Lonchura striata: one gene and its partners. The protein of the gene in region 2 interacts with the protein of the main gene of each other region in a pairwise test. Links are inferred from orthologs where the notes say so. Each region holds a gene or a part of one and is shown on either strand. Other genes may lie near its edges. The genes, in order: LYAR, SDCBP2, ZCCHC17 and PTMS.

Evidence for each region.
Region 1: the proteins of SDCBP2 (region 2) and LYAR interact in binary tests that used the Homo sapiens proteins (3 or more experiments, as listed by UniProt). The two-hybrid records come from large-scale screens. The link is inferred for Lonchura striata from reciprocal best matches to the Homo sapiens genes SDCBP2 and LYAR.
Region 3: the proteins of SDCBP2 (region 2) and ZCCHC17 interact in binary tests that used the Homo sapiens proteins (3 or more experiments, as listed by UniProt). The two-hybrid records come from large-scale screens. The link is inferred for Lonchura striata from reciprocal best matches to the Homo sapiens genes SDCBP2 and ZCCHC17.
Region 4: the proteins of SDCBP2 (region 2) and PTMS interact in a two-hybrid assay, tested with the Homo sapiens proteins (2 studies listed by BioGRID and IntAct). The two-hybrid records come from large-scale screens. The link is inferred for Lonchura striata from reciprocal best matches to the Homo sapiens genes SDCBP2 and PTMS.

Annotation. Positions count from the first base shown.
Region 1 is NC_134606.1:13,227,548-13,235,493, reverse strand, and holds the start of LYAR (cell growth-regulating nucleolar protein), read right to left. Parts: upstream 3,011-7,946; 5' UTR 2,942-3,010; intron 2,222-2,941; 5' UTR 2,176-2,221; coding exon 2,054-2,175; intron 1,745-2,053; coding exon 1,630-1,744; intron 1-1,629. Other genes in the region: ZBTB49 (zinc finger and BTB domain-containing protein 49), read left to right, coding at 4,447-4,598, 6,521-7,617. UniProt on the Homo sapiens protein: Plays a role in the maintenance of the appropriate processing of 47S/45S pre-rRNA to 32S/30S pre-rRNAs and their subsequent processing to produce 18S and 28S rRNAs. Also acts at the level of transcription regulation.
Region 2 is NC_134619.1:7,351,857-7,359,244, reverse strand, and holds SDCBP2 (syntenin-2), read right to left. Parts: upstream 3,007-7,388; 5' UTR 2,755-3,006; coding exon 2,701-2,754; intron 2,582-2,700; coding exon 2,457-2,581; intron 2,285-2,456; coding exon 2,158-2,284; intron 1,990-2,157; coding exon 1,828-1,989; intron 1,594-1,827; coding exon 1,418-1,593; intron 1,351-1,417; coding exon 1,179-1,350; intron 1,054-1,178; coding exon 962-1,053; intron 879-961; coding exon 824-878; 3' UTR 439-823; downstream 1-438.
Region 3 is NC_134628.1:6,740,171-6,747,993, forward strand, and holds the start of ZCCHC17 (zinc finger CCHC domain-containing protein 17), read right to left. Parts: upstream 3,002-7,823; 5' UTR 2,879-3,001; intron 2,768-2,878; 5' UTR 2,702-2,767; coding exon 2,660-2,701; intron 673-2,659; coding exon 615-672; intron 1-614. Other genes in the region: SNRNP40 (U5 small nuclear ribonucleoprotein 40 kDa protein), read left to right, coding at 3,245-3,460, 4,204-4,333, 4,830-4,923, 5,818-5,983, 6,685-6,807.
Region 4 is NC_134604.1:29,639,276-29,646,720, forward strand, and holds PTMS (parathymosin), read left to right. Parts: upstream 1-4,430; 5' UTR 4,431-4,796; coding exon 4,797-4,844; intron 4,845-5,600; coding exon 5,601-5,672; intron 5,673-6,342; coding exon 6,343-6,424; intron 6,425-6,572; coding exon 6,573-6,637; intron 6,638-7,260; coding exon 7,261-7,311; 3' UTR 7,312-7,419; downstream 7,420-7,445.

The DNA of each region.
Region 1 (7,946 bases), on a different chromosome or scaffold from region 2:
AAGAAAAGCAACTTTGGTTTTGGAATTAATTATGAAAAATCAGGCTTACTTTTGATGCCACAGCTGACATGCATTTCTTCTGGCAGCAGTGCCAGCTTCAACAAGCATTTATCCTGTATGACAGCTCTGGATATTCCTGTGCTATGGGTGTCAGCATGAGAGAAGAGAGATTAGACCAGGCTCTCATGGCAGCCCCTTGAACAGCACTGCTGCTTGTGGGGGGAAAAAAGCTCTGGGCTTCCCAGGACTTAGAGAGTGCAGCCAGTGGACACTGCAGAGCTTTCCTGTACTTCTGAAGATCTGGTGACTGAAAGGCTTTGTGAATATGTTAAGACTATCAGAAAAAGGTGTCTGGTCATAATCTCTCATCCTTCTACATAAGAATCATTTACTATTGAGGCAGGCTACCAATGCTCACAAGCAACAACACTCATGTCATACTGCCTTTACAAATGTCCTCAAACGTTTGAGTGTTCAATCTCAACAAGAGCACTCATCTCTGACTTTAATGGTATTCATCATATGCTTCAAGTATGCATGCAGCTTAGAACCTTCTTAGAATGTGTTCTACATGATAGAAAGCAACAATTTCCATGCATAAATGTGATCTAACCTACTACTAATGGAGTTTTAAATGAGTTTGAGGTCCTTCCAAAAACCCTTGAATGAAAGCCATAAGAGGGTAGATTCTTGTGTAAGACAGAAAGAGTACGAGATATTTCTATCCATGCTGGAGCTTCTCCTGTTCAACATATTTACAAAACAGCTGACAAATTTACATATTAATTTACATACTTACAAAATATCTGACAAGAGGATGGAAAATGAAAATAACCCAATGATATTGAGCTATTCAGGATGAGGACTATGAGGATTCCAGAAAGATCTTAAGAAAATGAGTGACTAGGTAATAAAAAAGTGAAATACAGTCAACACAACTTCACATAAAGCCAGAAGAAAAGGAAAAGCAATCTTAATTTCAGATCTAAAATGGCAGGCTTTAGTTGACCATTGGAGCTTAGATACAGTATCTCAGGGTCAAAATAGCCAATTCCATGAAAATGCCAGCACAATGACCAGCAGCGGTGTATAAAAACCGAATTAAAAAACCACACAAAAGTAGATTAACTGACAAAAACAGTTAGAAAGGAATAAAGGACACAGAAAACATAATTGTGACACGTGGTAAATCTATGGTTCTCTTATATCTTGAACAGCACTTCACAAACATACAGTACAGTGGGAAGATTTTAGAAGACCAAAGATATAATTTACATATGCAGAACAACTGAGTAGGGCAGGATTTTTGAGCCTTGAACAAAGAATATGAGATGGGGAGGGATGCCTGACAGAGGTCTACAAAAGCATAAATGGCATGAAAAGGAGGGACAACTACCAATGTCTCTTTGTATACAGATGGGAACATTACACTAAGTCAAACTAGTAAGAGACATATTCAAAACAAGACACTTTTCTTAAGAGATAAACACACACCTGTCAAGGAAATGTCAGAAGACAGCCGGGGATATTGATAAAAACAGATCTCTGGCTTGAGCTAGTATAGGCTCTTTTCTGTCTTTGATAATTACAGACAATAGTTACTGTAGGTGCACACAATAAAAAACATACCTGAATCCACTCCTGCTGTTTAGCATCTCCTTTGTTCGTTTTGGCTTCAAAGCCTTTCCCACCATATTTCTGGTCTTCACTTACACACTTCACGTGTTCTTTATAGTCATCACCCCTGAATATAAGAGATTTTTAACCACAGGTCATTGAAATGCTTCACTCTTCAAACTATGCAACACTTAGCCAACCAACAAGATTAAGTAATAGATAATTTAAATTAACAGATCATTTAAACCCTATTACTGTCAACTCTTAAATTATAAAAATGTGATGTGCTTAAAGTAAATGCTTGTAAGACCACAGGCATTTCTGTCATGCTTACAGCTTTCAGTGAAAGTTTCTGACTTGCATCAATTATATTTGTGACAAGAGTGAGGAAGTAAGTCTGTAGAGTGAGCAAAGCTATTTCCCATTCTTTACATACCAGAAATCCTTGCCACAATCCATGCAAGACAGGCACTGACACTTTCTGCAGATGTTCACATGCTTTTCAACCTGTGCTTTCTTCACAGCTTCTCCACACGCATTGCATGTGAAAACTACCATGTTGGCAAGTGGTCAGGAGCCTCTTCCTTCCCACAAAAACGCAACTCTAGGAATACAAGAAGAAGATCTTAATTTATAGCTTGAAAGAAACACTTGGAGGGCCGAAGCGAAACACAGCCGTGCACCCACTGACAGACAGGGTGCGCAGCCCGCTGCTGCACGTGTCAGAGCTCGTTCCACCCGAGTCCCTCCCTGAGCGCAGGGGAGATCAGCACCCCGGGAACCACAATCCCTGCACCCGCCACCCCAACAGGGAACCAGCGACCCCGAACCCATCACCCGAACCAGGAACGGGTAACCCCCGAACCCATCACCCGAGCCAGGAACGGGTAACCCCCGAACCCATCACCCGAGCCAGGAACGGGTAACCCCCGAACCCATCACCCGAGCCAGGAACGGGTAACCCCCGAACCCATCACCCGAACACCTGTAACCCCTGCACCCGCCACCCCAACGGCGGAACCGGTGTCGCCTGTACGGCCCCAGCGCGGATACGTCGCGCAGGGCCGTTCCCGGTCCCCTCCCCTCCCGTGCGGGACCCCGCCGCTCCATCCCGCTCCCCGCAGCTGCAGACCCCTCTCGGCCGTGCCCCGCCGCGCGGCAGCGCTGAGAGGTGGCCGGGCCGCACGGCGTGGGAAGCCCGGCGTGGCCGCCACCCGCGCTCCTGTGCGGCAGCCGGCTGCTGCCGTGCCGAGCCGAGCCGAGCCGAGCCGAGCCGAGCCGAGCCGAGCCGAGCCGAGCCGCCCCCGCTCTCGCTCCCCCGCACCTCAGCGGCCGCCGCCCGCGCGGCACGCGCCGCACCGCCCGCTCCGGCCCCCGCCGCCCGCGCCTGCGCTGCCCCCGCTGCCCCCGCCCCGCGCACCGGAACGGGAACGGGAACGGGAACGGGAACGGGAACGGGAAGGGGAAGGGGAAGGGGAGGGCGCGGCGGCGGAAGCGGCCGCTGGCGGGGATGGAGCTGGGAGGAGGCCGGAGCCGGTAAGCGCAGGGCCGGGCCGGTTGCTGCCCTGGGGCCGCGGCGCGTTTCCCGCTGCCCGGGGCTGCGTCCCCCAGCCCGCACCGGCCGCTCGCCGCGCTGTCCCCGGGCAGAGCGGCCCGCGGCGACCAGACCCTCCCCTGTCCTCTCCCCCGTGCCGCTCCTCCAGCCTGGCCGAGGCGAGCTTAGCTCCGAACAGCGGCTGTGCCGGAGCGGCTGCCGCGGTGCCCGGCCCCTGGATGAGAGACACTTCACTGGCAAAGTGATTGCAGGATGCCGCGGTGGGAAATGTTCACAGGAAAAGCCTGTTAACGTGGTTCCTTTATTTTAAATCCTGGTCAAAGTATGATAAGCATTAATAGAGAAAAAGCACAATGTAGTAACCCCTACCACCCCCCCCTCCCAGTGTAATACAGCCAGAGACAGGGCACATCAGGATAAATTAATGTGGAACCCTTATTGTTCATGAGATTTGAGAATGGGGCAGTCACTATCTGGTCATGCTTAAAAGGTGGTTTTCCTGCTTCATTCCTTAGAATAGGAAGGTTTTTCTCCTAGTTAGAAGACTAGAAATTCAGATTGTCCTAATAGTTGGAACTGTCATGTTTACAAGCGCACAGGGGAAGTGTTGCATCGTTGTTGGAGGGGGTGGGGAAAAGGAAGTATAGAATTCAATGTAAATGTGTTGTGTTGGAATGTGACTTGTCTATTCAACCTCTAAAGAGGGGACTTTTTCATTTAGATTTTACATTGTATTAAGAACAATACCATGTTAATGTGTCTAATTAATCAGATACATTGTAGAAATGTATGTAGCTAGAACAGCAACAAATGCCTGAAATAATACTAGTTTTCCCTTTTGAGTTTAAAGGATGAAGAAACTGAGGCTTTCCTCTACAAATGCTACTGATTTTGTACATGCAATGTGTTTTTGCATTAGACTCTTAATTATTGTGGAAGTTGTCTAAATTGAGGTGCATTTTTTTGTGGTTATGGAGTTCAGTTTATTGGCAGCACCATTAGATTTTTGCAGATGCTCTGTTATAAACAAATCTCTCTTAAAAATCACTGTTTCATATGTGTATTGCTGTGTATCTGTTGGTGAACAATATTGTGACTCATCTTTAACCAGAAAAATGTTATTAGCGATCAAATTGGAGGTGTAAACTGAAGTCTGCTTCCTTTGAAAGCTAAAGCAAATTGTAAAAATGTTCTTAATGTTTTAAATTAATTTTGCAATTTAATATTCACCTTAGCATTTTATCTCATTATAGGTAATTTAATGATTTTCTAGCATGGACACTGTTGCTAGCCACAGCTGTCATCTTCTGCAGCAGCTACATGAACAGCGCATTCAGGGGCTTCTCTGTGACTGCATGCTGGTGGTGAAGGGTGTCTGCTTCAAAGCACACAAAAATGTGTTAGCTGCTTTCAGTCAATATTTCAGGTATGTGAAAGAAAATTCTTCTCTTTAAAAAGTTAACTAAATGCTGTTGGCTGAGGTTTCTCTGAGAAGGGTATTTTTTTCTGTTGGTTGCAGACTGAGGAACTGTTGGGAGTATAAGGAGAAAAGGGAGATTGCTTGTCCAGAGAAAAAGCTGTGTCCAGTATTCACAGCATGCTCTTTGATTTTGACATTTTCTTGAATTACTTGCTTATAGTCCTTCATGTAATAATTCTGGCATGGACCTGTTTTCAGTATTTCACTAGAAAAAGATAACTGCTTACAAGGAACTTAGTAGAGTATATGAACAGAACCAGATAAGAAGAATAACTGATAAAACCCATTTCCAAGTAATAGGACTTGTTTCATCAATCATATGCTAAATAAAATGTGACCATATAGGTTATTAGTGAATCTCTGCTTATTCAGATTCTCAGAGACAATAGCTGTGTTTTAAAGTATACAGGTGGCCCATTACACCACATCATGCTTTCTTACTCTTCTGTACTGCCCTCAATTGTGCCTCCAAGTTTTGGAGGATGCTGGATCTCCCAGCTTAGTATTTTATATTAGTTATGAGTAAGCTGTTAGATCTGGCAGTTTTTAGACCTAGTCTTTTGAAACATCTCTAAAACTTCACTGCTAATTTAATTGCAAGAAACCTATTTTTATGTTATGACCAGGGAAAAAAGATAAGAGGTTCCTTTTTCTCCTCTAGTGCTGTACCGCTGATGAAGTGCAATTATGTTCAAAGACCAAATTTTTAAAGTAGTTAAAAAGAACTAACAGCTCAACTCGTATTAAAATTCAATAGGATATGAGTGCCTAATTAATTTAGACTCTCAGCCCAGATCTGTTCATTATAGTTCCAGTTTTAATTTTGATAGGATGGTATAGATTTATGAAGGAATTTGGATGTGGGCACTGGCTTCACAGTATTCCCTGCATTTCTAAAGTTTCAGCATAGGCTCACATTTTCTTAAGATTCAGAGCTCATTGATATCATGCCTTCCTTTAAACAAACCCAAATTTGAGATTTAGCCCACAAAAAGGAATCATTAAGTTTGGGATTTTAATGGTATAAAGTTTATGACTGAGAGAGAGTATGAACCCACTTAATCTAGGACTGCTTGTGCATGTGAAGAACCGCATCTCTGATGCTGAGAATATTTAACATCAAATACTAAGAACTTTTGTGAGTTCATTCATTATAAGGATTCAGTGAAGTTCAGTGGGTATTGGTTGCACTGCTGTTTTAGGATTATGTACCTGTACTCTTCATTATTCTTTTACTTGGTTCTCATCCAGTACCAGAAAAAAAAGTATATTTTATATGAGAAAATAAATTGAAAATAATACCATCTTCTTGTTTAATATTGCCATTTTCTTGTGTGTTTGTGCAGAAATAACTAATGCTAAGAACTTTGATAGGCTTACTGATGGAGTTCAATGGACCAGTTCAGTTGCCAGAGGAGAAGAGTTTAGCTGACTTTGAGGTCTATCTTCTCCCTTTTGCTAGAAAATTTATGTCCTGTTTGATCTGTCATGATGAAAGGAGAAAAACCATTCTGAGTCAATCGGTTCTGCAAATTGTCCATAAATACAACACTGCATCTAATATGTGAAGAACAGTGGATAAGAAACCACAAGCGTAGGGTGTTATTTGAAAACATAAATACAGGATTAAAGTTAGATAAAAGATAATTTACTTTGATTTATATTTCAAGTGCACTAATGCAGGACTAATATATAAAACAAGTAATTGAGCAGTTTTGAGAAATTCATCATCAAAAAGACAGCAATCTTTAGAAGAGTACAAACTTGTTTCATACTAGTAGCCTATTTGAGTTGTATGTATGTTTTTCTTATTGAAGTGTTTGTGAATTATTTGTGTTTGTATTTGAATATTTGCCTTATTTTATCAGGACCCTTTTCCAGAATTCTTCAGGCCAGAAGAATGATGTGTTTCACTTGGACATCAAAAATGTAGGTGGCATAGGCCAGATCCTGGACTTCATGTACACCTCCCACCTGGATCTCAGTCAGGACAATGTACAAGCTATGCTGGACATTGCACAGTGCCTCCAAGTGCAAAATGTGCTGAACATTTGCCACACCTTTTTAAAGTCTTCCACAGCTGTGGAACAGGCAGCCAGCATGCCGTGTAGCAGTGTATTTTCACTGCAGAACACTTTGGGGACGGATACCAGCTGTGCCAGTGACAGCTATGGGACAAACCTACTGCCTGAGTGCTCAGCTGACAGACAAACTAACAAAGTCTTGGCTGAGCAGCACTCTCAGTCTGTTAATCTGCACACCCCGTCAGGTGATGGACAGAAAGCACCACAAGATTCCTTAGATGGCAACTGCACAGAGCTCCCATTTAAACAACCAAATTACTACTATAAACTACGCAACTTTTACAGCAAACAGTTCTATAAACAAAACGCTTGCTCTGATCACGAGAGAGGAGCAGAACCATCCTTTTCTTACAGCACATCCACAGAAATAAACACAGTGGAGAATAATTCTTGCACTGTCAATCACTCTGAGTGTATCCTGGAAACCTCTGAGCATTTACCATCAAACTTCCTGGTTCAGTCTGCAAGTGAAGCTGCTCCAGACCAAAACGCAGAGAGCGCAGTTATGCAGCCCACCAGACAGATGCGGCTGAAAAAGGCAGTACACCTCAAAAAGTTAAATTTTCTAAGATCTCAGAAATCAGCAGAGCAGCCCCCTGAGCCCCAAAGAGATGACAGTAGAATAACAGAAGTAATTGAACCTGTAAATGAAAGTACTACGGACACAACAGATGTTAGAGTTACTGATGAAAAAGAAGCTGAAGATTTGGTGAATTCAGAGAATTTTGAACAAACTGTTGAAGTGGAAAGATCTCAAGGTCCTTTGGAACAAGAAGGACAATCACAGACTCTTCAGTCACAGAAACAATATACTTGTGAATTATGTGGGAAGGCTTTCAAACATCCAAGCAATTTGGAGCTACATAAAAGGTCTCATACAGGTACAGTTATCAGTTACTTGGTCTGCAGAACAAATATTTCAGTTATAGAGAATATCTTGCAGTGTCTCTTGATTTAGAGATGCTGGTTAAAAGGCTGTGGTTTGTTTTGTTGGTGGTTGGTTTGGTTTTTTTTTTATGGATAATCCTACAGAAATAAAGAATTGTAATACCAAGTTTTAAAAGAAAGTTGTAGAAAAGATTGTATTTTTCATCTCAAATACATTTCCTATGTATTTGGAGTTCTGGGTACTTTCTCAAAGAACATCATGTGATTTTGATGAAAATGAAATTTCAATGAAAATTTTGGTTTTGTCCTGCATTTAGATGAG
Region 2 (7,388 bases):
GGCGCGCCGCACTCCCACCCCACGAATGTCTGTGGTTTCTTCGTGACTTGAACTAACAGTGTTTCCCCCAACCCCAACCCAAGCCCACTCCCCCACCTGTGGGTGCCACCAGCCAGTTGCCCTGGCATGGTGATGCTCCACACGCCGATGTCCAGTGGTCCCCAGAGGGGCACGTGCGACATCCTGTGTGCCCCACAGTTCCCTGCATCCCCCTTCTGCTGGCTCTGCCTGTGCTGGGGGGCAGTGGGGACAGCAGCTCTGCCACCAGCACAGCACCAGGTGCCAGGGAATGGATGTGGGGAGCAGCAGTGTCCAGGCAGCCGGGGCAGATGTAAGCGGAGCTGGGATATTCGCCTCTTGTGCAATGTATTTGTGGATCTGTGTACACGTCTGTTAGGCTATCCAAAGCTTTGCCAAGTAATAAATGTAACAACTATATTTGAAAGACAAATCTATATAATATATTTTTTAAATACAGAACTGAAAAAGCTGTAACCCCCCTCTTCTTGTTTCCCCTGTCCTGTACTTGCTCTCTGTGGTGGATGTAATAAATGTCGCTGGGTCTGTGTCTGCTTCGGCTGGAGCCAGCCCTTGGCATCCGCCCTGAGGGGGGTGGCCTAAGCAGGGACACGGGGACAGTGGGATGCTGGTACAGGACATCTGCCCCATCCTTGCTGAGGAGAGGAGGAACCACCCAGCAGCCACCAGACTCTGATGGGATAAGGGGTTTTGTGCTAAAACAGCTCCTTTGGAGGTGCTGTGGGGTCCTCTCAGCAGGCCCTCTGGGCTTCCAGCATCAGCTCCCAGAACAGCAGCGATGGTGTCACAGGTCAGGGATGGAGTGGTCCATGGACGACTTCACCAGTCCTGATGAGAGCCTGATCAGAGAGAAGGGAGGTCAGTGGGGGGAACTCAGGGGTCCCCTTGGGGTGTGGGGGTCCTTGCAGCCCCACATTCTCACCGTTTGACCATGTGCTCGTAGATCACAGTGGGGATGATGGTCAGTGTCACCACATTCCCAGCCCCTGCCAGCACCTCCGTGAGCTGCTTATCCTGCAGGAGAAAGAAGGGACTCCATGGGGTGCCCAGCTTTGCTCAGTATCCCCCTCCCTCCTGGATTCTCTGGCCGCATCCTGGACTCCCCAGGCATGTCCTGCACCACCAGGGCACAGCCCTACCTTCATGCCGATGACGTTCTGGCCGTTCACCTCGCAGATGCAGTGGTGGGTGAGGAGCCCGTTGCGGGCGGCCGAGCTGTCCTTGGCCAGGGACACAATCTTCCCCTTCTTCACCACGATGCCAATGTGGCCGGTGCTGTCCTTGTGCACGGTCACGGTGCGCTGGAAAGGCCTGTGGGGAGAGCACCCTCAGTGCTGCCACCGGCACTGCCACCAGCACGGTGCCACCACCCGCTCACCTGTCCCGCACCACCATGACGATTTTTTCGGGGTTTGCCTTCTTCAGCGCGCGCTGTGCCTTGTCACTGCTCCAGCCCGCGCAGTTCTTGCCGTCAATCTGCAGCACCTGGTCCCCGAAGCGCAGCCCCACCAGCGCTGCTGGCGAGTTGGCCTTCACCAGCTGCACGAAGATGCCCTGGGGACACAGCAGAATGGTGGCACAGGGATCAGTGGCCATGCCGTGCACCAGGGTATGCCATGCCATGCCATCTGCACCCTGCTGTATGCCGTGACATTTAATGCCACACGCTGCCGTGCCATGACACGCTGCTATGGCACGCTGTGCTCTACTGTCATGCTTGTGCCATGTCACATCATGCCATGACACGGTCCCGTGCCATGCCAGCCCCATGCCATCCCGGCCCCTCACCTGGTCCACGTTCTTCAGCTGCAGCCCCGTCTTGCCCCGCTCGTCCTTGCAGAGGTGGATCTCCCGCACCCCCGGCTTGATCTCTGCCCGCCGCAGCCCCGCGCTGTTCCCGCTCAGGGGGGCGACCAGCTGGCCTGGGGAGGGCCCGACGGGGGTCAGTGCCTGCGGGGGAGCTGGGGGTCAGTGGGGACAGGGGGGACACAGGGCCCGGTGCACCTCAGCCCTTGGGAGTGCTGCATGCCTCTCTCAGGCAGGATGAGGAGCCAGAGGGATCCCCGTTATGGCACGGGGAGCCACATGGGGCAGGGAGCTGCCAGCCCAGACACCTACGGTGCTGTCCTCGGTGCGCAGGTTCTTCTGGATCTCCTCGCTGGAGAGCGCCAGCCCCATGTAGTTCTCCAGCTCGGCTAGGTTGGGGTACAGCACAGGAGGCTCTGAGGGACGTACCAAGGGTGGTCTCAGCTCCCGGGGCCCACAACCCACAGCCATTGCCCCCTCCATCCCAGGAGCCCCCTGGGACCATGGCCCAGTAAAAAGAGACCCCAGAATCCCATCCCCAACCCATGCACTGAGTTGTGGGGGGGTCTCAGCTGAGCCACTCGCCCCTTCCCCAAATTGAGCATCATTGCCGACCCAGACAGCCCCTACACAGCGTGAGCTGATCATGTCCCTCCTTACCAGTGCCTGAGGTGAGCTTTGGCTTCTCTGTGACCACTGTGGTGGCAGGGGTCCTCACCCCGGCTGCTGCCTGCGCCTGCCAAGAGACAGGGTGCTCAGTGCTGTGCCCCCCACCCTGGGGACCCTCTGGTGAGACCCCACAGGGACCCATTGGGGTCTGCTCACCCCCTGTCACACTGCTGAATTGGCACTGACCTGCAGGACCTGGTGGCCCTTCATGTCCTCCAGGGAGGGGTAGAGTGTTGCCATCGTTGCTGCTGTCTGGGGACAGGGACAGGGAGGTTCAAGGACTGAGTTGCCTCTCTCCAAGCATCCCTCCCAGCCCGTGTACCGGAGATGGGCTGTCACCTGGAGTTTCCAGTGTGACTCAAGGCTATGTCACCAGGGTCACCACCACCGCCACTTCCTGGTGGCTGGGACATGGATGGCTGTGTGCCGGGCAGCTCCTGCTCCCCATATCCACCTGCCCCACAGAGCATTCCCAACACCACCCAGACAGGGGAGTGGGATATCCCATGGGAATGGCCCCTTGCCCCTCATCAGACCCCTCTGCTCCCCATGGCCAGTGGGGCCGTTCCAGCATTACCCAGACACAGCAGGGAGATGTCCCATGGGAACAGCCCTTGTACACACCAGCAGCCCCCTCTGCACCTCATGCTGTGCCCAAGGCTGTGCCCCCCAAACCCACTCTGTGGCATCTTGTGCCCCAAAAAGCATAATCCAAAACTCCTTGTGTAGGGACCAAATCCAGACCCAGCTCTGAGCCCTGCGGGAACCAGGCAGGATCCCACCTGCAGCCCACGGGTAGCAGCAGCATCCAACAGACAAGAGCCCCCAAGTCCAGCCCTGGCACCCCTGGACTCACCTGCCAGCAGCTCCCAGATCCTTGTGACACCCTCTGCCTGGCCCCTGGGTTTTATAGCCAGGCCCAGCCCAGGGTGGGGCCAGACAGCCTCAGCTGATTGCACCCCCGCCAGGTAGGGCACAGGTGAGGAAGAGGAAGATGAAGGCAACAATGCACAGAGCCCTGGCACGGCAGGGATGGGACAGAGACTGGAATGGGGACTGGGATGGCTTTCTGTAGCTTTGGGCATCCTGTGGGAGCAGGGATGGGACTGTACCCCTACATGGTGCCCCCCCCAATTGCATCACCTCTCCTGCCACCCCCAGCAGGTGGCTTGGCCCCTGACTGGGCTCCCCCTCCCCATTATCCTTCCTGGGCTCCACAGGCCCTGCTGGGGGGTGAAGGGGGTTCCCCACCGTGATCCCCTGCGTGGGTGGTGGCTCCTGCTGACACCTCGCTGCCCTGGCGCGTGGGGCTGACGCGGCCGTGACCGGGATCCCGTGTCCCACACCCTCCCAGCCGTCACCTGGGACACGTGCCAGGCGTGGGAGTCCCATGCTGCAGGTGGAGAAACTGAGCCGGCACCGAGCTCAGCATGGGGTGGCCGTGGCATCCTGCTGCCATGGGCCATCACCGTGTCACCTGGGGATCCAGCCCTGCAGCAGCCAGCGGTGACATTCTGCTGTCAGCACCGTGTCCCCAGGGGCTGGGCAGGGGGGTGCTGAGGGCACTTGGGCAGGCCTGGACCTGGTGGCACCAGCCCACATCTCCCCGGCACGGGGCCAGTCCCAGTGCGGAGCCGCAGCCAGGCCTGTCCCAGCTCCCTGTGCCTCCGCTCCGGCGTGCCAGGCCAGGAGGAAGTGTTTTATTTACTGCTGTTATTTTTAGCTGGATGGTGCCCAGCTGCCTTGACCAGCCCAGGACAAGAACAGCCTGAATGCCAACGGCAGAGAGAGTCCTACAGAGGAGATTGTTTCCTGGAGCCTGTTCATTTCCTGAAACCCTCATCCCCACAAAACCACGGCTGTAAGGACTCCCACCCCACCTGCACTCATGGATGCTTCAGGAGCTGTGCAGGGGCTGAGGGCCCAAGGGCAGGGGGCGTCCCTCAGCCTCCCCCCTGCCCTGGCTTAGCCCCAGCCAGAAGCCATCGCTGTCTGGCACTGGTTAATAATTAAAGCAAAAAGCTTTGCAGGAAGAGAAATGCAAACTGGCCTCAAGCTTCCACCCAGAAACAGCCACAGCAAAGGACAGAGCAGGGTGCTGGTGCCCCACAAGCTCCTGTCCTGCTTAGCTGAGCCACAATTCAAGGCAGTTCTAATTCCTGCACGGCCCTGTGCAAGTACCAATGGCTGAGCTGCTCCTGCCCCAGGGCACTGCTCCCTCCAGGACCCATTACACACAAACTTTGCTTGGCAGCTGGGACAGGCTGGTATTGATCATGGCTGTGTTATCAGTTGTGGCACACTGATCAAAGGTTGTCAGCAGAGGAGCCAGGCACTGGCCCATGGTGGTGCCTGAGCACATCCTACACACACAACACCCACAGCTGCAGCAGCAAAGCCCAAAGCAGGTGATGTGCTGTGCCCCACATGCCATGTCCAGCTTTCAAAAAGGACTGAAATAAATCCAGAAAGGTGCAAGGAAAGGCTTCCCTGAAGCTGCAAGGACCATGGGAACATGCATCCATGTATCCTTCATGCTTCCAGTCCAGGCTGAGTCACAGCCACAAGGGCATGAGGTTGTGAGGGCAACACTTAACAGGTTATGGTGAGGCAATGAATTATGCAAATACCAGCAGGCCACCATCACCTGTCCACAGAGCACAGGAGCCCCAGGCATCTTAATGTGCTCCCAGGGCCGAGCACCTGAGCCTCACACTAAGGCACAGCAGAACAACCCTGGCACTGCACCCAAAGCACCCCACAAGCCCAGAGCAGCACCCACAGCACCCCACACAGCACCCCCTGAGCCCAGCCCAGCCCCTGCTGTGCTGAGCGACAGACGGGCGAGGGAAGAACCTCCAGGACACAGGGCTGAGAAAAGCCAGCATCAAGCGTTTTTATTGCGATAATAAACTGGATACCTTTGTGCGGCGGAGAAGGAAGTGACCGGCGGGAATTTCTGTTACCAACGGACTGGGCAGGGCAGAGGGAGGGGCACAGGGGACAGCTATGCGTCCTGGGACACCAGGCAAGCAGCGATGACCAGCATCAGGTGGCAGGAGAGAATGGGCAGGTGTGCTCAGAGCAGGGACAATAGGGAGCTGATGGTTCCTTTCCACGGGGGAGGAGGAGGACAGAGTTTTTGTTGAGTTGAGCCCCCACCACCTCCCCTGCAGACAGCACCTTCCCTTTGTCCAGTTTTCCTTTTTCTTTAAAGAAAGCTCCATGCTATGGGATTTTCAGGGTGTGGCGGAGCTCTGGTGGAAACCCAACTCCCTAAATCCAAAAGTGGTCTGGAGGGGAAGGCAGGCCCACCATGAGATGGCAGGGTGAAGCAGGGGCAGAGCAGCCCTCCTTTCCCAGAGCAAACCCACAATACCCGCAGTGATGCTCCCTGGGGAGCAGGGAAAGGCCAGGCTCCCTCGCTGTCCCACTCCAGGCAAAATTCCTATAAACAATCCTAGTGCTACCTTGCTCTCTGCATCCCTTCAGCCTCGACAACCTCACTCTCCTATGGCTTTTGCAGCAGCAGCAATTTCTGGTTTGGAAACACCATACATCTGCACCAAAACTAGTAACTAACAGGATTCCTTTTCTTCAAATGACTCCTATCTAAGGTCAGCCCATCTGCGTGCTACTGGGAAAACGTAGTCTACACCTGGAACAAAAATAAGATTAAGAACTTGACCCAAAAAGAGTTGAGGTTTACGGTGTATAGTTTAAAAAGACATAAAAACACGATACAAGGAGGAAGAGTCAGACGCAAAGCTTAGTGACCAAAGGCATTCAATCAAGGTGTAAGGTTATACAATGAGTGTAGTGGACTATCAGGAAAAGCTCCGTACAAAGTCATGTGCACTCTTCTTGAAGCTGAGATTCTGGATTCCTCCATGTGCCAAACCTGTGTGGACAGAGGAGAGGCAGTGTGAGCTGGACAAAGACAAGCTGCCCAGGCACAATAGCCTCCACACAAACCACACAAGGTCCTCAGAGCAGCAGTCAAGCCTTGATTGCAGGGGGAGCACAGCCCCACTCTGCCCACACCATGGGGACCCCACACCCCAGAGCAGAGCCCCACAGAATCCCAGAATGGGCTAGGTTGGAAGGGACCTTAAAGACCCATCTTGTTTCAGCCTCCTGGCACAGGTAGGCACACTGTCCACTAGTCTAGCTGCTTCAAGCCCCATCCAACCTGGCTTTGGACACTTCCAGGGATGGGACAGCCTGTGCCAGGGCCCGTCCAGTCTCACAGGGAAGAATTTCTCCCTAATACTAATCTAACCTTGCCCTCTGTCACTGTGAAGCTGTTCTGCCTTGCCCTGTCACTTCAGGCCCTTGTGTGAAGTCCATCTCCAGGACTTCTTGGAGCTCCTTTAGGAGCCCCTTTATGCTCTGAAAGGTGCTCCAAGGTTTTCCCAGAGCCTTCTCTTCTCTAGGCTGAGCAACTCCAGCTCTCAGGCTGTCTCCACACCGTAAGTGCTCCAACCCTTGGGTCATAGTCACTGCCTCCTGCCCACACCATCAGCCCCTTGCTGGGACAGCATGAGTCAGGAGGGGGTGTGGCAACCGAGCCCCCTTGGCGCAGCAACAACACTCAGAACCCACGGCACAAAGAACTGGCACTGCAACACCTCCATGACATCAACCTGCTCTGCCAGGCTGGGAACTTTGCATGTAGCACTGTAGTGAGCAGAACCCCAGCTCACCAGATTCCCAAGAACAACTTTTACCCACAGAGATCTGCCCTGTTTTTCTCATATTCCCCATTACTGCCCACTCCCCCCTTGCCTCCATCCCACCTCACCACACAGTCCCAAGGTATACAGGGGCCCTGAGCTGTCCTCAGTCCCTGACAGAAATTGCTCCTCCTTACC
Region 3 (7,823 bases), on a different chromosome or scaffold from region 2:
TGTTTTATACTGCAGCTACCACCAGTAAAGCTGCAGATGTTAATAAATTATATATTCTAATAAATATAGGAATATATCCTATATATATAATATATATACAGTAATAGATGTATCAAATATATATTACATATTATATATACAATAATATACATTATAATATTATATATTTGGTTATATATTTTATCTATAGTATATACAATTATATACCCTATAATATATATATTATATATGTATCTTTTATATTTTATATATAATAAAATATATTATAACCCATCTACTGTTATATATGTTATATATACCTTCTATATAACATATATAGTAAAATACAATACATATTGTTACTATACTTATTATTACTATTATTACTATTACTATTATTATTTAAGTTCCAGAATTTCCCCAAAACCCACCACAAAATATCCTTAAGTTACAAAAAAGTCCTTTGAGTCATTCTTGGTAATCATTCTACAGTCCATCATCTTCTAAATGCTTCCCAAATTTCTTCCTCATTTAGGAAAAAACTCCTTTTCTGATTTTTTTTCTGGAAGTTTTTAATTGTGAGGCGGCTGCTTGCCCTGGCCACAGCTCCATAAAACAGCTCCAGGGACACCAACCTTGTTTCCTGCAGCCAGGGATTCTGATAAAGGCCCCAAAATCCGTCACTGCAGCAACCTGGGGAGAAAATCAGAGCAGAGCTGCAGGAATCCCTTCCCAAAGGGGGAGAAATCACAGCAGAGCTGCAGGAATCCCTTCCCAAAGGGGGAGAAATCACAGCAGAGCTGCAGGAATCCCTTCCCAAAGAGGGGAGAAATCACAGCAGAGCTGCAGGAATCCCTTCCCAAAGGGGGAGAAATCACAGCAGAGCTGCAGGAATCCCCTCCCAAAGAGGGAAAAATCACAGCAGAGCTGCAGGAATCAATTCCCAAAGAGGGGAGAAATCATAACAGAGCTGCAGGAATCCCTTCCCAAAGGGGGAGAAATCACAGCAGAGCTGCAGGAATCAATTCCCAAAGAGGGGAGAAATCATAACAGAGCTGCAGGAATCAATTCCCAAAGAGGGGAGAAATCACAGCAGAGCTGCAGGAATCCCTTCCCAAAGAGGGAAAAATCACAGCAGAGCTGCAGGAATCCCTTCCCAAAGGGGGAGAAATCACAGCAGAGCTGCAGGAATCCCTTCCCAAAGGGGGAGAAATCACAGCAGAGCTGCAGGAATCCCCTCCCACACAGAGGAGAGTGCCCAGCTCCACGTGTGGAGATGGGCACAGAATCAGCCATGGCTGGGCAGGAGGGACATTAAATCCCACCCAGTGCCACCCCCACTGTCCCAGGTGCTCCAGCCCCAGTGTCCAGCCTGGCCTTGGGCACTGCCAGGGATCCAGGGGCAGCCACAGCTGCTCTGGGAATTCCAGCCCAGCCTCCCAGGGAACAATTCCCAATTCCCAAAATCCCATCCATCCCTGTCATGGTAACAGGCCCCTGGCTGGGCGATAATTAGCATTGATTCCATGATTCAAGAAGGTTGATCAATATCTATCTTTTTTAAGAAACCCCCCCACTTTTATAGACAGTTACAATACAGCTAGACTTAATTGCTCCTCTAATCAAACCACTATCACTACTGGCTAATTAAGAAACCACCCCTTGGTAAATAAATCCCCATAACACATTCTACATGTTCACAACACCAGGTGCAGCAAGTGAAGATAAGAATTGTTTCTCTGCTCTTCTCACAGCCTTGCCCAGCACAATGCCTGGGAATGCCGTGTTTCCCTCTGTGGGCACAGAGCTGCTGCCACACACAGCCCTGCCCTCTGGCAGTGGCACCAGGAAGAGCCCAAACCTTTCCACAAGCCCTGCCAGGCTACAAACCCCCCCTGCATTTTCCAGTGGGGAACAGCACTGGGTGCACCTGGAACCATCCAGGAAATCATTATTTCCTTTCCTTTATCCCTCTGGTGCAATGATTTTTGGTCCTGGTTCTCATCCTTGATTTAGGAATCTGAATCCCAGAGTGGTTTGGGTGGGAGGGAATCTCATCCCAGCCCAGGGACCCCTCCCACTGTCCCAGGTGCTCCCAGTGTCCAGCCTGGCCTTGGGCACTGCCAGGGATCCAGGGGCAGCCACAGCTGCTCTGGGAATTCCAGCCCAGCCCCTCCCACCCTGCCAGGGAACAATTCCCAATTCCCAATCTCCCACCCAGCCCTGCCCTCTGGCAGTGGGAGCCATTCCCTGGCTCCTGTCCCTCCATCCTTGTCCCCAGTCCCTCTCCAGCTCTCCTGGAGCCCCTCCAGGCCCTGCAGGGGCTCTGAGCTCTCCCTGGAGCTTCTCCTCTCCAGGGAGCACCCCCAGCTCTCCAGCCTGGCTCCAGAGGGGCTCCAGCCCTGCAGCAGCTCCGTGGATCCCTCTGGGCTCTCTCCAGCAGCTCCAGGTGCTGCTCCTGTTGGAATTCCGAGCTCTGAGGGTGGGGAACCCAGTGACAGAAGAGGTCGGAACTGCCTCTCCTCGGCTGCCCCCGCAGCTGCACATGAACAGCCCCCGGACACAGGTTGTGCACCTGGACAGAGCTGTGCATCCCCAGAGCTCCCCCGCGCTATCCCGACCGAACCCACGGAATGAATTCCCCCCGAGCTTGGCCCGGGCCGCGCCAGCCGTGCCGCACCTCGCCCTGGAAGATGGAGTAGAGCTCGGGAAGCGGCTCCATCGCCTCCCGAGGCGCCGTGACAGCCAGCTGGATTCACCCTCGCTACCGCATCTCCTCTGCAGGATGCTGAGGAAAGAAAAATTTCATTAACGCCCGAAAAGCCCCAGAGAGCACCCGGGGTTCAGCGCCTTGAGGGGCGCGGGGATTGGACCCGCAGTGCTGCGGTGAAGGACTGACCTGGACCGGCGCAGAGGGACAGGACGGCTCCTCCCGGAGCCCGCGGGGCGGTGGGGGCTCGTCAGCACCCGCGGCAGCAACACCAGCGCGCCGCCATCACCCCCTCACGCTGAGGGGCCACGCTCCTCGCCAATCACAGCGCGCAATGTTGCCGTGGGATGGTCCCGCAGCCAATCAGCGTTACCCATACCACCCAGCGACCGCTTTCCTCCAATCAGAGCGAAGCGCGCCAGAAGGCGCCGCGCTCCCCGCTCCATCCTCGGCGCAGCGTCGGGGGGTGGGACCTGCCCGGCGCTCCGCCAATCAGCGCGGCGGCCGCGGCAGCGACAGCCAATGGGGCGCGGGGGGCGGGGCGCGGCGGCCGCCATGATCGAGCAGCAGAAGCGGAAGGCGCCGGGCCCCGCGCCCGGGCCCGGTCCTGCCGCCCCCCCGGGCCCCACCGGCCCCGCCGCCGCCCCCGCGCCCGGCCCCGACCTCCCGCTCGTCCCCGCGCCCGCCAAGCGGCCCCGCCATGACCTGCCCGGGGCGCCGGGCACGGGCGGCGCGGGGGGACAGCCCGCGGCCGGAGCTCTGCTGCAGGCGGTAACGGGGGAACGTGAGGGGAGGGTGGGAGGAGATCGGGGTGGGACGGGAGGTGAGGGGACAGGAGAGGCCAGGCGTGGTTCCAGGAGCAGGGAAGGGCCACGAGCGTGGTGGGCTGGACACTGCTGAGGCACCTGTGTTAGGTTCTAGGCCCTCGGCTGGGGCCTGTCCGCGGAACGGAGCTGGGAAGGGAACTGAGCCCCAGGAGAGGCTGAGGGGGCTGGGAAGGGGCTGGAGAATCCCTGAGGGAGCTGGGAAGGGGCTCAGCCTGGAGAAAAGGAGGCTCAGGGGGACCTTGTGGCTCTGCACAGCTCCTGACAGGAGGGGACAGCCGGGGGGTCGGGCTCTGCTCCAGGAACAGGGACAGGAGGAGAGGGAACGGCCTCAGGCTGGGCCAGGGCAGGCTCAGGGTGGCAGCAGCAGGAATTTCCCCATGGAAAGGGTGACCCCCCCCTTTCCATGGGGAAATTCCTGCTGCTGCCCACCCTTGGCCTTGGAACTGCCCAGGGAGGTTTGGAGTGCCATCCCTGGAGGTGTCCAAGGAACGTCCTGGATGTGGCACTCAGAGCTCTGGGCTGGGGATAAGCTGGGGACCAGGTTGCCTCAATGACCTTGGAGCTCTTTTCCAGCCTCAGTAATGCTGGAATTCTGGTGGGATGTGCTGTGGGAAGGTGAAGATGCTCGGCAGGGGTGGCAGGCTGGCCTTGCCCCTTGTCCCCTCACGGTGTCTCGGTGTCCCCCAGGGCCCCCCGCGCTGTTCCTCGCTGCAGGCCCCCATCATGCTGCTGTCAGGACACGAGGGGGAGGTTTACTGCTGCAAGTTCCATCCCAATGGCAACACCCTGGCCTCAGCTGGCTTCGACAGGCTCATCTGTGAGTGGCACTGCTGTCCCCTGCTGTCCCCCGGGCTCAGGCCCTGTTGCTGGGGGGTTTTAGCTCAGCCCTCACCTGGCTGGGTTCTGGGTGTGAATTGCTCCCCCATGGGGGTGCAGGAAGCTTTTCCCAGCTGCTCTGGCAGGTGCCATCCTGATGGTGCTGGAAAAGTGCCTTGCTGGGTGCCAGCTGTGACCGCCCTGTGTCCCTGGCACACGGCTTCCAGAGGTCTGCAGAAATGCAGTTTTAATGCTTAGGCTTCCTGAGGCAAAAATTATAATTGTTCATAATAAACTCACCTTAACCAAGCTCCCTAAAGCTGCTCTGCCCTGGGGCTCACACGATGCTTTGTCACTGCTGTGAGTTGTCCCAGCTGGGACTCAGCAGTGGGGCTGGTCCATCCCCACTTTGCTGAATCCCCAAAGATCAGCTCCATGCACAGCAGGGGCTGTTCCCGAGCCTTTCCTGTGCTCACCTGTCCCTTGCTGTCCCCCAGTGCTCTGGAACGTCTACGGGGACTGTGACAACTTTGCCACCCTGAAGGGACACAGCGGGGCTGTCATGGAGCTGCACTACAACACGGATGGCAGGTGAGGGCAGGGGCTCTGTGCTGCTCAGGGACTCACTGCAGCTCAGGGAACAGGGCTGGAGCCCCAGGAGAGGCTGAGGGAGCTGAGAAGGGGCTGGAGCCCCAGGAGGGGCTGAGGGGGCTGGGAAGGGGCTGGAGAATCCCTGAGGGAGCTGGGAAGGGGCTCAGCCTGGAGAAGAGGAGGCTCAGGGGACCTTGTGGCTCTGCACAGCTCCTGCCAGGAGGGGACAGCCGGGGGGTCGGGCTCTGCTCCAGGAACAGGGACAGGAGGAGAGGGAACGGCCTCAGGCTGGGCCAGGGCAGGCTCAGGGTGGCAGCAGCAGGAATTTCCCCATGGAAAGGGGCTCAGGCCTTGGAACTGCCCAGGGGGTTTGGAGTGCCCATCCCTGAGGCGGCAGTCAGAGCTCTGGACTGGGGACAAGGTGGGGACCAGGCACAGCTTGGATTTTATGTTCTTGGAGCTCTTTTCCAACCTAAATGATTCTGGGGTTGTCACCTGTGCTCAGTCCATGGACACCAAGTCCTTGTAGTGTGGGCAAAGGATCTGGGGGCACCTGTGACCCCCCCCAGTGCCATTGATGCAGTTTTGGGGCACAGAGGGAAGTTTGTGTTGGGTGCCCGGGAGTCACTGGGGAGGGAGACAGAGCAAGTGAGATACTGGTTAATTTAAAAGGCTGTTCCACCATTGCTGCTGAGCTTTGCTGAGCTGTGCTCATCCTAGATGCTGCTTGAGGAGGCAGCAAAACCATTCACAGCAGGGATTAAGGGGAGTTTATCCATGCAGCTGTTCCAGTGTCAGTCAGTGTTTCAGGCGCCTCCAAAACACCAACAGGGGAGGTTGTTCCTGAAAGGAACTGGGAAGGGAGCTGGGCCCTCACAGTGGTTGTTCCTGCAGCATGCTCTTCTCAGCATCCACGGACAAAACCGTGGCTGTGTGGGACAGCGAGACGGGCGAGAGGGTCAAGAGGCTCAAGGGCCACACGTCCTTTGTCAACTCCTGCTACCCTGCCCGGAGGGGCCCCCAGCTCGTCTGCACGGGCAGCGACGATGGCACTGTCAAGGTCAGTGTGTGCCCTGGGCAAAGCCTAGGGAAAAAAGGTGGAGAAGCTTTTAGGATCTTCCCCTTTATCTGGGCTGATTTCAGCCTTTTGGTACTCGTTTCGTTAGCGCTCTGAGTTCAGAGGCAAAAATGTGACAGCAAATTTCACTGCTCTGTTTTTTCTGTGTTTCTCAGGGGGTTTGGGAAGCTTGAGCTGCTCAGCTGGGATTTTTCTGCTGCTGTGGCTCTGCACAGCTCCTGCCAGGAGGGGACAGCCAGGGGGTCAGGCTCCGCTCCAGGGAACAGGGACAGGAGGAGAGGGAACGGCCTCAGGCTGGGCCAGGGCAGGCTCAGGGTGGCAGCAGCAGGAATTTCCCCATGGAAAGAGGGCTCAGGCCTTGGAACTGCCCAGGGAGGTTTGGAGTCCCCATCCTTGGAGGTCCAAAGAGTTCTTTCTGGACAGAAAAACAGAAATGACAGTTTCTTTATGGATTAGCAAAGCATGAGAAAACTATTCCTGGAATCTGGGCTGGCCCCTTCTTCCTTGCCTTCATTCCTGTGCTCCAGACACAGCAGATTCAGTGTTTTTTATAAAGATCTCCAGATCTGATGTTTTTCATGAGACCTACAAATGGATTTCAGGAGAACAGGCTGAGTCCCTGCCAATATCTCTGCAGTGATTTTGTTGTGCACACCTCTTATAAGTGCCACTTTTCTTTCCAGCTGTGGGATATCAGGAAAAAAGCTGCTGTCCAGACATTCCAGAACACCTACCAGGTCCTGGCTGTCACCTTCAATGACACCAGTGACCAGATCATCTCTGGAGGCATCGACAATGACATCAAGGTAGGACCCTGTGTCCCTTTCCCCCTGTGCCCACCTTTTCCATCCTGTCACACCCTGTGTTGGTCAAGGACAGCCTTGGGTGCCACCTGCTGAATTTTACATCCCAACCCCCCTGGACCTGCTGTGTCCATCTCTGCTGGTGGTACAGAGCCAATAAAGTGGCATGGAGCTGTGACAGCCTGGCAGGGACAGCCTGGCACTCGGGTGTCCCAGCACTGCTGTCACCCGGGAGCCAGTGTGGAATGCTGGCTGTGCTGGCAGCCTGGGACAGAGCCAGCTGTGAGGTGAGCTGAAGAGAACGTGGTGACACGTCCCCTCTGTGCCCTCTGCCCCAGTCTGCAGCTGCCCCTGGCACCTGATGCTGTGGAAAGTTCTTTTTTAACAGTGAGCTCAGCTGATTGCCCTGGGGGCTGCGGGGCTCTGGCTGTCCCCATGCCCTCAGCCCTGCTCTGGCCTGTCCCCAGCCTGTCACAGCCAGTGCTGTGTGGCACTGCCACCAGGGCTGTCATCAACCTGCCAGAGCTGTCCCCAGCCTGTCACAGCCAGAGCTCAGTGTGGTGCTGCCACCAGGGCTGTCCCCAGCCTGTCACAGCCAGTGCTGTGTGTGGCACTGCCACCAGAGCTGTCCCCAGCCTGTCACAGCCAGAGCTCAGTGTGGCACTGCCACCAGAGCTGTCCCCAGCCTGTCACAGTCAGAGCTCAGTGTGGCACTGCCACCAGAGCTGTCCCCAGCCTGTCACAGCCAGTGCTGTGTGTGGCACTGCCACCAGGGCTGTCCCCAGCCTGTCACAGCCAGTGCTGTGTGTGGCACTGCCACCAGGGCTGTCCCCAGCCTGTCACAGCCAGTGCTGTGTGTGGCACTGCCACCAGGGCTGTCCCCAGCCTGTCACAGCCAGTGCTGTGTGTGGCACTGCCACCAGGGCTGTCCCCAGCCTGTCATAGCCAGAGCTCAGTGTGGCACTGCCACCAGAGCTGCTCCCACTGCCCCTCGTTGGGAAGAACCCCTGGAACTGTGA
Region 4 (7,445 bases), on a different chromosome or scaffold from region 2:
CCGCAGAGGAGCCCCGTGGACGTCTGGAAGACAAAGAAAACCTCGTTACCAGAAGTCAGAGCTACCCACAGCCATTTCCTCATTGGTTCCCTTCATCTGTGCCTCTTACGTAATCCTCACCCAACAACTGACTCTGACCTCAGATGAAGGGCACCCCGAGTGAAGGACAGCTCTGATTTGATCCTCAAATGGGAAAAATCATATTCGGGATGCTACAGCCAGCTTGTGGTGGCTGCAGCTTGCGTTGCGTGGCAGCGATTACTTTCAGAATATTTTGCTCGTGTTAAGAGTGTGTCTGTCACACTGTGAGTGAGAACCACGACCTCCCATCTGTGCTGCGTTAGCAAAGACAGGCTCACAAAAAAATCACGATTGAAAACATCCCTCCTCTTTCCAGTCTTCTGACAGGCTGTGTCACCCCTTGTCATTCCCTTCTACTCCTCTTGCTTCTTCTCCTTGTTTTACCTACCCTGCTTCCCAGCCCTCCTGCAGGGCTTATTTAAATATGCTGCCTCTCAGGAAGCCATTTCCCAATGCAAAGTTGGCCGGTGGTTGAATTCTTGGGTCTTTCCTCTTAACTTCACTATATGGCATAGCGGAAGAAGAACAAAGCGGATTATCTGCTGGGATTTTTAGTGGACACAGTACAGAAAGATGAACAGCGTGACTTAAATACATAAATGCATTCAAGCAGATTCCCTCTGCACACTGAGATTTTGCTACTTTTGCTGTACGTGAAAGGACAGATATTCTGCATTTATGTAAATCTAAGAAAATTTAATGCAAATACACATCCTTCTGCTCTTTTGTTATTCAGCAAACAGTTTGGAACCACTTAGGAGTTAGCTCAGTAAATATAATTCTTAAAATACCCAGTTTTTGTGTTTTGCTTTTGCTCAGAAAATGGCTCGCAGTTAGTTCAGCCTTCAAAATAAACACAAAAGTCACCATCCCCTCTGCCCCCATCAGAACATAGTGGCATGACTAGCAAGGTAATAGACCAAAATGCATAAATAATTGCTTCTAGGTGCATTCACCCCACATTTGCTGGGAGAAGAAAAATAGATACCACGCATGAAAGCCCTAACACATCTCAACCACGTGCTCACGTATGTTGGCAAATGCCTGCAAGCTCAAGGCACACCTCAGTAGAAAAGTACCATACTTTCTACACTCACAAAAGTAAAAGAATGTAACAGGGGGAAAATATCCCCTCTGTACACAACCAGGTATGTACTGCACCTAAACACATGCGCACACCTACATAAACACCAAGCACAAACAGGGTACAGTACCAAAATTGTGACACTGCACGGAGAAAATTACATTCCCATTGTTGTCTGGGCTGCAGGCAGACACGGAGAGTGTCTGTTCCACACAATGATCTGTCATGTAACTTCTGCACCTCCCTCATTTTGTCTAAGGACATAAGTCTCCAAAAAGGATGGAATATGTTCTGCTGAGTTGGCAAAGCAACTACAGACAAAGACTACGGAACGCACTGAGCAGAGACTGACATCTGCAGAGCTCACAATGAGTGTACTTGCATTTGCAGCAGAGGGGAAGGCACAGATGGGAGAGAGGAGCAGAGAAAAGCTGCAGATCAATCTGGCAGGCGAAATGCAGAGTGGCACAGATCAGGTGGAGGAGCAGAAGTCACAGGGAAGAGCTAGGTGAGACAGTCAGTGGATATCCTCAGGGCTTGAGGGAGGCAGCTGCACACTAGAAGCCCAGCAAATCTCACTACCAGGATCCAAAGGGCAAGAAGAGTCAGAATGCAGAAACAGGCAGATGACAAGGAATGAAGAAGAATTTAATGTTGGATTTAAGGGGAAAAGCATAGTTGATACAATAATGCAGGGCAAAATGGGACATGAAAAACAAAGGAGGGGATGTGAAATGAATTTTGCATGTAAGATACAGGATGTCACAAAGAGAAGCCGGGGAGAGGGCCATGGGGAGAGTGCTGCCAAGAACACAGGTAGGAGACAAATGCCAAGAAGCAGCAGATGAGGGAAAAATTGCAAAGGGGATGGGGTGGGGAGCATGGAAGTGACAATGTGAAGTTGCACACTGCAGGTGCTGGGGAGGAAAGGAGAGCTTGCTGCTGCCATGCCAGTTTGTAGTTGACCCATGCTGACCCAACAGCGCCATCCCACAGGTAGCTGGAAACAAGCTCCCCTTGCACAAACAGGTGTTTGTCAATTTGCATCTGTGGGTTCGCAGCCTGTGTGAACATGGAGCTTTGGGCACGGGAACATCCCTGAACGTAATCCTTTGCTTTCTCCCCTCTAGGATGTTGTGTCAAGGCCTGTTTGTGCATTAATGTGAAGATGTCTTTGCCAAGGGATATGTGTCAATGTAATTATGTGTTTTCAGTGGTTGAGTGTGTAAAGGAAGAGGATCCTGGAAAATAAATTCTGGGTTGGTGAGGAGAACAGCAGAGCAATGAGCCACGCACCTTCTGTCAAGCAGAAAGCAGAGAGGAACACCATCCGGCCCCTATATAGATTACTTTGGGTCCTGTTTTAGGTGTATATCTAGAAATTAAGATTTTCTTCTTGTGAAAGGGAAGGATGAAAGAGGAGTACTTGTACCAAACCAGGGCTGGAATGCTGATAGCAGCTAGACCTGAGAAATTGGCCAGATCGGTTTTGTGAAACAGTAGGGGAAAAAAATTAGTGCACGCATTTTCATAATTTGGTTTATTTTGGTACTAGTCTAGATGTGTGCATGTGAGTTACAGGACTGTTTTTTGGAGCAGGCACTCTGCACTGTGTATAGCTGTGAAGAACGTCAATTAGTCAGATCATGAGAGAAGCAGCTGTAGCTGTGGAGGAGACGAGACAACAAGCTGGGTAGCTTCTACCTCCCTGTCACACAGATTATAATTTATCCAATATCTTTCCTACTTTCCTTCAGGAGATACATACTCAGGGCCCTATGTTCCACAAATACGAATGGCTTTTGCTGTTAAATGCTCGAACTGAGACACATTCAATTAAACTCAAGAGCACCCGCTCTAAATCCTGACTTTGCAGGGAGGCTGAGTTTGTATCTGAAGGACAAGAAGGGCTTGCGTACCTCAATACATTTTCCAACCAGACGGATTAATAACCTTGCCTTGTACCTGTGAGAATGACTGCGTACACGTGTACCTCTGTATGCGCTCATGTGCACGCGTAGTTCTGTATGTACGTAGGCCCGCAAATGCATGCGGATTTATTTTCTTTTTTCTTTTGTACGAGCCTGTGACTAAGAGCGGGACAATATAAACCTTGTGGGAAAGGTGAAGGCAATTTAGTCATCCCAGTCTGCTCAACCTGGTAACCAAAGGACTGAAGAGCGGCTGCAGGAACATCTCTTTTATTAGCAACAAATCCCTGCAGTTGCAAGTCACCACCTGCGGTTCTGCAGGACCTTTGGCTACAGGGATACCCGGTGCTGAGCGATGATCCTTCCCAGCCCGGAAGGAGGCACTGGCAGGATGTCTGCCACAGTCAGGCCTGAGGCGGGAGGCAGGGAACGGTGTCGCACACCATGTGCTGCCCGGCCGGTGGCCGGGATGTGGGTCCCGGGCGGGTGGGCAGCAGGGATCGGTGTCGCACACCGTGTGCCGGGATGTGGGTCCCGGGCGGGTGGGCAGCAGGGATCGGTGTCGCACACCGTGTGCCGGGATGTGGGTCCCGGGCGGGTGGGCAGCAGGGATCGGTGTCGCACACCGTGTGCCGGGATGTGGGTCCCGGGCGGGTGGGCAGCAGGGATCGGTGTCGCACACCGTGTGCCGGGATGTGGGTCCCGGGCGGGTGGGAGCCGAGCCCGGCGGGACAACGCCCGCGCCCTCGCGCGCCGTCCCGCCGCCCCACGTGCCAGCGCCCCTCCCGCCTCGCACTGCACCAAAGGGCCCCGCGCCCCCGCCCCGCCGGCGCGCCGGCCGCCGCCAGCCAATGGGAAACCTGTTGCCAGGCAGAGAGCTCATTTGAATGGCCCAATCAGGCGCCCCAGCCCCAGCCCCTCCTTATATGGGGAGCGGGGTAGGCGAGCGCTAATCCGCTCCCGCGCCGCCTGCCCCGCCCACTCCCTCCGCCGCGCGCAGAGCGCGGGAAAAGCGGCCAGCGCCGGGCGGGCAGGCGGGGGGAGAAGAAGGGGAGGGGCGGGAGGAGCCCCGCCGCTGGGAGCGCTTCCAGCGGGAGGAAGGGCGGGCAGCTGGAGTGGAAAATTCCAGGCAGGAGGCCGCGTGTCGCCAGCGCTGCCCTCCCACACGGCCCCGCAGCGCCGCTTCTCGCCTCCCCCGGATTCCTCCTGGAGAGCCAGCCAGCTCGTACGGGCGGCTCCCCGGGCGTGCTGCGGCCGGAGGGCTCGGCTGCCCTCGCCGGACGCTTCCCGTCGGAGCCGCGGCACCTGGGCGCGGAGCGGGGCTTTCGGCTATCCTCGACGGGGCCGTGCGGCGTCTTGCGGGGAACCCGCGGTGCGCCCCCGCTGCCGGGCGGCCGCGGCTGAGCGCACATTGTTCTAGCAGCCCGTCCCTCTCCCCTCCCTCCTCCGCCTCCCGTCCCTCTCTCCTCCCTCCCCAGGTCCCTCCTTCCCTCGTCACCGGCGCTGTATAAATCCCCTGCCCCGGCGGATCCCCCCACCGCGGGAGACCCTGGTACTTTGGCCCCCGGGGCGGGATCCTGCCGCCGCCTGCGGACCGCTGGGACTTTGCGCTCCCGCCGCTGACCCCCTTCTCGCTCCCTCCCTCCCTCCCCCGCACGCTTCCCACCGGCCTCTCCCCTTCGCAACCCCGGGGGGCCAGGATGTCGGAAAAACGCGTTGAGGAGGCACCGGCGGAGCTGAGCGCTAAGGTGAGACACCTCCTACCCCCCACCACCACCATCACCCCGCTCCCCTCTTCCCATCTTCGGAACCGGCCGCGTTCCCGGGAACGGGGGGGGGGGGGCTCAGTGAGGTGCCCCGGCGGCGGGGGGCGCGCGCGCGCGCGCCGCCCGGCCAATGGGGGGGCGGGGGCGGGGCGGGGGGCGCGAGGGCCCTCGCGCCCCCCGCCCCGCCCCCGCCCCCCCATTGGCCGGGCGGCGCGAGCGGCGCGCGCTGGCTTCGGCTCCGCTCGGCCCCGCTTCGGCCCCGCTTCGGCCCCGCTTCGGCTCCGCTCGGCCCCGCTTCGGCTCCGCTCGGCCCCGCTCGGAGCCGGGCGGGGGGTGGTGGTGGTGGGGGGGAAAGTTGTGGGCACAAAGCGCGGGCCCTGGGATGGCGGGGGAAGGAGGAGGGAGGGGTGGAATGGAGAGGAGAGAGAGGTCCGGAAACGCCTCGATCCTACGGACGATGTCGCCCTCTTTTTTTTTTTTTTTTTTAATAAATCGTTCAAACTCTTCCGTGCCGCTTCTGTTTTCCACACGCGTGTGCGCGGGCTAAAAGTAGCTGTGACGCGCGTTCGCTGCTGTTTTCCTTTGTCGGGCGGGCGGATTTAACGCCTAATATGTCTCCTCGCCCGCTATTCCGCCTCTCCTCCGAGCCGTCTTTGTTTAGGCATCCCCATCTTTTATTGCCGCTGACCGCCGGAATGTTGTTGGTTTTCTCCCCCCCGCACCTCATTTCATATATAGGAAAGGAAAGAAAAGAAGGAAAAGGTCGAAGAGAAAGCCATCCACAAAGAAAAGAAGAAGGAGATAGTAGAGGTGAGGCTCTTCTGAGGGACAGATTTGGCGACGTCGGGGAGGTTTTCGTACTGTGGGTAGCAAATGTGAAGGGAATATGGGAGATTAAGAAAGGGAGCACCAGCCTAGAGGTAGAGTAAGCTCTTGGATAATTGTGGAGAATGAGCCTTGAAGGACTTAGTGTAGTCAGCACAGCCCATCAGGGAGGAAAAAAAGGTCAAACGGAGCCAGGAACAAGTGGGAGAATGTGGCACGGGAGATGTGGTCCTGCGCCCACTGGGGTACCCTGAGGTGCACAAGGAGCATGTGTTGGAGAAGCTGGGGGGAGGAACTGTGAGGAAACACACACAGATTGATGGGGATCTCGAAACAGATGTACCATGAGCCTCGGCTGTCATTAGCCTGTAATCAGAGATGCTTTGGTTGTTGGGAGGGATGGCAGCAGCTCCTCAGGATGTAAGCTCGTGGGAGACGAGCTGCGTGTTGCTGGGGATGGACTGGAAGGATTGGCTTCGTGAAGGAAGGCTGGTTGGGAGAAGTGTACATCCACAGTGGCAGGAATAATGATGTCGGAGTAACAATGCACACCTGGAGTGGCTGGAGCTCTGAAATTTGTTGTGCTTGTAGCAAAGAGCACGTGGAAATGTTATCCTGGCATCAGTTTCTGCTCTGACCGATTTGTTTTATCCAGGATGAGGAAAATGGAGCTGATGAGGATGATGAAGAGAATCCTGATGATGTAGATGAAGAAGAAGGTGGTGATGAGGATGAAGGTAGGGGAAATTAGATGAATAGGAGGCTGCAGAGGAATAGAGGATTGTGGAGGGAAATTCCCTCTGTGAGCCCTCTTGACTGTGAGATTATATTCCCTGAATGCTGCTTCAGTTTATCCTGTGATTTTCCTTTCTTGCATGTGCTTAGAAGCAGATGAGAATGGGCAGGAGCAGGATGGCCACGCAGAGAAACGATCTGCAGAGGAGGAGGAGGTGAGTAGTAGTGTGAGAATAATGGTGGGGTGAAGGAATGAGGCTACTTGCTGTTTGTTGATCCAATCATGTGGATGCTGCTGCTGAGAATCTCAAATTGGCCTCTGGTCTCATTGCTTCAGGAGCAGACGGGTAAACAAATCTGATGTGGCAAGGGGATAGTAAATCACTGTATGCTCCTTGTAGGATCTAGGGCCTTCCACCAGCAGTCGAGGTGCTGGAGGTTGTGCTTGGCAGTGACCTCTGAACTACCTGTGTCTTCTGGGCTTCAGGCCAGGAGATAGAGTTGTAAGGGTGCGGTGATTGAAGGGTCTGATCTTCCACATTAAGGGCAGGCCCTGAGGTCTGTGTGGAGTGGTGTGAGCCTCAGCTTCTTACACCTCCTGGAAGTAACAGCCATGGGTGTGGTGTCCCTCTGAATGGAACTGTCCACATCTTTACCACAACCAACAGAACAGCTGTGTCAGGCACTCCAGGGTGTTTTAGAGGGGAGTGGATTTAGGGTGGGCCTAACAGAGGTTTCCATATGGAGGAAAGAGCAGCAGTTACACGAGTTTTGTGGAGAATTATGTACCTCGGGGTGGTGACTGATGGTAACTCTTTCCTCCCCATGGCTGATGCAGGATGAAGTGGATCCAAAGAGACAGAAGACAGAAAACGGCTCTTCAGCTTGAATCCTCCCCTCCCATCTCCCCTGTTCCGCCCATCTCTCCTCCTCCATTCCAGCCTGTGCTTGCACTGCCCGTTAGCCTCTGGCTTCACACAATCTCAGATGAGGAAAGATTAGAAATGCTCTCAAACAGGGAAG